Nothobranchius furzeri: one gene and its partner. The protein of the gene in region 1 purifies or fractionates together with the protein of each later gene. This does not show direct contact. Links are inferred from orthologs where the notes say so. Each region holds a gene or a part of one and is shown on either strand. Other genes may lie near its edges.

What was found.
Region 2: the proteins of napab (region 1) and sec22bb purify together in Homo sapiens (affinity purification with mass spectrometry; 3 studies listed by BioGRID and IntAct, counting the BioPlex papers as one, with this or other methods). This does not show direct contact. The link is inferred for Nothobranchius furzeri from reciprocal best matches to the Homo sapiens genes NAPA and SEC22B.

The regions. Positions count from the first base shown.
Region 1 is NC_091753.1:46,790,828-46,794,589, reverse strand, and holds the start of napab (N-ethylmaleimide-sensitive factor attachment protein, alpha b), read right to left. Parts: upstream 2,697-3,762; 5' UTR 2,572-2,696; coding exon 2,474-2,571; intron 1,803-2,473; coding exon 1,528-1,802; intron 385-1,527; coding exon 338-384; intron 242-337; coding exon 164-241; intron 66-163; coding exon 10-65; intron 1-9. UniProt on the Homo sapiens protein: Required for vesicular transport between the endoplasmic reticulum and the Golgi apparatus. Together with GNA12 promotes CDH5 localization to plasma membrane.
Region 2 is NC_091748.1:52,853,272-52,855,594, forward strand, and holds the end of sec22bb (vesicle-trafficking protein SEC22b-B), read right to left. Parts: intron 1,237-2,323; coding exon 1,090-1,236; intron 1,005-1,089; coding exon 850-1,004; 3' UTR 644-849; downstream 1-643. UniProt on the Homo sapiens protein: SNARE involved in targeting and fusion of ER-derived transport vesicles with the Golgi complex as well as Golgi-derived retrograde transport vesicles with the ER.

The DNA of each region.
Region 1 (3,762 bases):
AATATTTACCTGGTGGATTCTTCGCCTTTGTAATAATCTGCTGCTTGTTCATAATGAGCAACAGCCTGAAACACCACCACCCCCGAAAAAAAAAAATTCAAATGACCATGTAAACATTTGATCAAATATAAACAACGTGATAACCATCAGCTGTGTCTCTGACCTTGTCGATGTCCACCAACTCCGTCTCATAAATCTCAGCGATGGTGATGTGGTGTTTAGCAGCGATGGTGAAACGACCCTAAAATTACACAGGAGCAAGGACGAAACAAAATTAAAAACACAAATCAATAAAACTATAATAGCTTAGGAGGGGGATTTGTATTAAAAACCTCACCATATCCGTGTATATTTCAATAGCTCGGTTTAGGCAGTTTATGGCCTCTGTTGAGAGAAAAACATCAGTTCAGTGAATGACAAGAAATAAGTAAAAGGAAATTTCTTTCCACTGCAGAAAACAGACTTTAGACAAAGTTCACTCATTTTCTCAATACATCTGCAGTGATCTCTAGAATGCATGAATGGCTTGTGAAACAACATCTCATGCTCCTGTTTCAGGAAGCAGAAGTGAGCAGAATTCCTGATGTTCGGACATCTCACCTCTGATTGACTAACATTAACACAACTCTACCACTGACTGTTCTGCAACACTGATATGTTATCTCCTCAAATAACACAAGCCTAAAGGAGTTCTGCTATGTTGTGGAGTTGCTCATGCTAACAGTTAGTGTCTACTAGCTCTGCTCTTTTCTGGGTGCTAAACCAACAACAGCCTTCCCCCGTCGTGAGCCAAGATGGGCGAGTCCATGAATGTTAATTCACAGCTTGATGTAGAGCTGACTGTACTTTCTAACTCAAACATTTCCCCATCTATTTTCTATGGGCGACTAATGCAGGAAATATGGGTAGAAGACTTTTTTCACGTTCAGCCTGTACACAAAACTCAGAGCTTCCAATCATATTTACATAATAATAAGTAAAAAAAAGTTTCTCAGTGAACTTGGTCTTTAAATGCACTTCTGTAGGAAACATTTACCCTAAACATCAGAATCAGGCTTACCCAGAAACTTCTGCACAGGTTGAGGAGTTTAACATTTCTGACTGCTCAAGAATTCCTGGTATTTGTCTTTGACGTTTCATCTTACTTATATCACATTTAGTTTTGAGTTGTGCCACCTGCACAGGCACAAATAAACTGCTGCAAACAGGCATTGATGTTGTTCAAAATCTGCATGTATAAAAACTACCCTTAGTTTTAAAAATAAAGAGTCTCGATCAGGGGTAAGTCTATAGAAGACAGCTAAATTTCAGACACACAAGATGCTTGGAACTAAGCTAGTATGGGGTAAACTAAAGACTGTAGATAAGTGTACACAGTCATGGGATCAAACTTGCTGCCAAACCAGGTATTAATTAGATTGGCTGCACTTTATATGAAGTTAATTTTAAAAAGTCCAAAAATGTATTTCCTTCCAGATTTTAAAACCTTTTACAAAGAGCTCCATGTAAAATTGAGTGACCTCTTACCTTGTGGATCTGCTTTTTTGAAGGCATTTCCAGCATCTATGAGATTAGTTGCTGCATCGTGTTTACTCTGCATTTGCAGGTGAAGATGAGCAGCCTGAGCAAACGCATTTCCTGCAGCTGAAAAGAAAACACAAATTAAAAGATAAAACATATCAACAGATATGCACAAGGAAGGGAAAGTAACTGTCCTCTTACCACACCAGTTTTTGGCCATTTTGTACATGTTGGCTGCCCTCACATACAGATCACAGGCCTCTTCCAGCTTGGAGGAGCTCCTGTGTGAAAGAAAAAACGTGTAAAAAAACAACAACTATAAGATACTGGTTATTAGCAGGTTAGGATCGTGTAAATGCAATAAACAAGACTGGATAATAAGTAATTACTTTTCAAAATAAAAATAGTAGATAGTATTTCATCTGTTGAGATTGTTGTCCAATAATGACAATATTTCCGCACCAACATTTTTATGGCAAAAGGCAAATATCAATAAATAATTTTCATTAGATTTGATACAACTTTGAGGTTTCTACTGTAAACATTGTGACGATTTGCACAATACGGAACAGCCAGCAGATGGTGCTACAGCAGAGCTAATGTGATCACACTTTTTAAAAAAATATTTTTTTACAGTCATACTTAAATAAAAACGAATTTAGTATTCTGTTATCGTCCATGTCAAACAACGGTTTGTTCAGTGTAATTTTTCTCAGTTTACTGGGATAAACGGCTACGTGTTAGTCTTTGTTGTTTGCAGACGTTATGGTCAGCAGAAATCCGGGGAAATAACCTTACGTCCGTAGACAAATACTCTCAATACCACAACATCTTAACAGCAGCTCCAGTCCTGTTGTGCCCAGCCATCAGCCCTGGTGTTAGGTGGTCACCTTCCGCATAGCTGGCCCTCAGCTTGAAAGCAGAAGCTAAACATCAGCTAACTAAAACTCACCCAAACAGCGACCCGAAAAACGACTGAGATGATTTAACTTTCTTCTCCGCCTCCGCCATTAAAGCTGTAGCTTCTTTTTCTTTCCCACTGTTATCCATTCTGCTTTACTTGTTTTTCTGAATCTAAAGGGGGGCGAAAAAATACTAAAGTCAACAAAGTTGCTAAGTATTGCTAACAGCAGTGTCACATCAGCAGCCAGCGCTTTCTCTGTCACGTGACAATGGGAGGGCGGTCACAGCCCTGCTGCCTTCAGGTGCTGCTCGTACGGTCCAGAGTTGGTCCATTACAAATCTATAATGTTTCATGTTATAAACTGATTGTAGACCATGCTGCAACACAATATATCAATCGATAATTTAATTAAGAAACATGTTCGTTGTTAATATTTGCTGTAGAAACAAAGGAATCGCTTCTAATCTGTCTCAGGATCATTACAGTGCGTTCATGACAATCTATATAAAACAGTTCCCTTGTGTTATCTGTTTTCAACAGCCAATTATTTTTCTATAAGCAATCAGACATTAAAGGTGACAATATTTAAGCATAAATGTTGTAATAAAACGTAATAGCGTAAATATCTTCAAAAGTGCAGTTTTAAAGGAATATTGATTAGAATTATAATAAGAAAATGCTTTCCTTTAGTCAATGCCAGTTCCATTATAAAGAGACATTTTTAATCAAAATGGGTTAGCATCATAATGAAACTGTTTGTCAGCTGAAATCTTTACAATTTTAACATAAATAATAGATAACAACTATGTTAAGTGGTTTTCCAGGCTTTGCATTATAGCACAGTGAATTAAATGTGTGTAAAATATTTTGTTGAAAAATACATGACAAACATATTTTAGGGCTATGGGTTGTGGTAGGTAACTACATGAGTCAAACATTCAAATACCTTTTTAAAATTTACAAAAATAATCACGTATTTTAGAACTATACAAAAATTATTTAAAATATGGAAAAGGAATGTTTTCTTGTAGATTATGTTACAGTATTTTGCTTAGGCTTTTTGTAGATTAGTTTGTTCTTTTCTTAGCCAAAATCATATAATCTGATTGCAGTTCAAGACTGGGTTGCATTTATCTAACAAATCTGCTGGCATTTGTTAACATGACTGCTTTTATATTTTTTTACATTTGTGATCCAGTTTCTTTTATGATTTCATTTTAAGCAATTTCTCCCCACAGGCTTCCTCTGCTGTTCCTGCCTTTCTATTGATGTTTTTTGAGTTTTAAAAATGAAAACAAGTTAACATGAAGAATATGTCAAATTTAAGAATGCACTAA
Region 2 (2,323 bases), on another chromosome or scaffold:
AACAAAGACTTAAATGTGAGAGAAATGATGACACGGTTTTATTAAACACGTCCCTTAGCTTACAAACAGGAAGCAAAGATAAGGAAACAGGGTTGATGTCGTCGGTGTGCATTAATAAGCCTCTTCATGTCACAGACGCGTGCGAAACTTATTTTTATCTTGTGGGTAAAAGCTGGGAACGGGTTGAGATGAACCACCTTCGGTTGCTCGCCCCTTCTGAGTCACTGCATAACGTCTGATGTCACATCCTGTCTCATCACAATAAAGGTAAATAAAACAGATAGTTGTATTTGTGAACCGTTCAAACACTACTTTAAATGAAATCTGCCTCAAATGTTTGTGCCTAAATTACAGCGGAGATCATTTAGTGATGAATCGGACGCGTTATGCACGTTTATGAGATTAGGAGCAAAAAGGAAAATAATGATGTGGTTTGTGTCCTTTATCTGTATCCTTAGACATACAGAAGGTTAATGAACAAAACGGGAAATAAATTTTTTCTCTACCTTTGCACAGAAATCACATTCAAAAACAGGCAACCCACACACTCTCACACACACACACACACTAATTTCCTCTACAATCCGAGGGCCATAGATAGAGAATGACTGTTAATTAGAAAACATTGTTTCATGACACCGTTGCTATTCAGACCCACATACGGACAATTAAGGACAAAATGAGTGCTTGTGTGTGTGTGTGTGTGTGTGCGCGTGTGTGTGTGTGTGCGTGTGTGTAAAGTCTCATTAAGAGCAGGGATCCTTTTGGGTCGAAAGTGCTGCTTTTTCTCAGCACTCGCAGACGGCCTGCAGCTCGTTTCCACTTCACTACCTCCTCCCTCTTCCTCTCTCAGAGCCACCAGAAGCGCACGTAGACGATGAGCATGATGAAAAAGACGCCACCTGCTGCCAGCTTGGCGTAGGTGGAGCGGGTGTTCAGGTATTTGGCATCACTCCTGTACTTCTTTGACAAGCTGGACAGATTGCTGGCCTTGGAGTCGAGCGCTGCAAGGAGAAGAAAACAAGATGATCCAGATGAGGTTTTTCCTCTTTTAGATTGAAGCTTCAGCCTCAAATGACCAAGACTGACCAGAGAGAGCCTCTCCTCTCTGCAGAACCTCCTCTATGTTTGCCACCATGATCCTCTGGACGTCCTGCAGCTCCGTGTTGATGCTACCCAGATTCCTCCGTGCTCGGCTGTCGATGTACGACTTCTTGGTTTTTTGAATGTAGGTGTCTAAAAGAGAAAAAAAAACGCAACAGAAAAACAGAAAAGTAACAATGAAGCCATGAGTTGTTTGCTTCAAACACTTCACAGTTTACAGTTTTAGGCTCATTTATCTGCACAATTGAGGATTTTTTTTTTTGTGGAATTTCAGTAAAGCTTCATCAGCTCTGCAGCTACTACTGTTTCCGGAGAAGATGCAGCATTTGGGACATCTGTTTTAAAGCTGAAGGTTTGATGCGAGGTCCTGGGTTCGCATCCCGCCCTGGGGTCTTTCTGCATGGAGTTTGCGTGCGTGGGTCCTCTCCGGGTACTCCGGCTCCCTCCCACAGTCCACAAGCATGACTGTCAGGTTGATTGGTCTCTCTAAATTATACTTAGGTGTGAGTGTGTGTGTGTGTGCATGGTTGTTTGTCCTGTGTGTCTGTGTTGCCCTGCAATAGACTGGCAACCAGTCCAGGGTGCACCCCGCCTGTTTGCCTAGAGACTGTTGGAGCCCCCAGCGTGGATAAGTGGGTACAGATAACGGATGGACTGATGGATTGTTACTGACTGATATTCTGAACTAATTCAGAAAGGAAGCCATGATACTACGTGCATTCATCCATGCTTCTGTGGCACACCACCCTGTGTGGGAATGAGATTTAAACAATATAATTTCATCACGATTTAGCTTTTATATCCAAATATCTGACCAGGAATCGAGTTTCCTGATATCTATATGAACACGATTCTGAGCAACCAGGCTGTCGCTGCTGACAGCATTTCACATGCCTCCTCCGTATTACCGTAATCCATGAGCTGTTCAGGACATCAGAAAATAACAAAAGTGCAGAAAAGCTCAGAGATTGCACTTTGGTAGCCTACATGACACCTCATGGTAGCCCCTCGGTGACTTTCATAACACGAACTTGATCAACAAGATGAGCAAGCTTCACTGTTGTAGTATTTGTTACTCAAGCTGCTCCGTACCGTAACACCTGAGAGGTTTTTCCAATTCAGTGTCTGGAAGTGCAGAAAAACCTTTCCGACTGTTGCAATGAACATAACAGAGAAACGGTCAGCAAGGGAGAAGGAGAGAGCGACACAAATAGTTTAA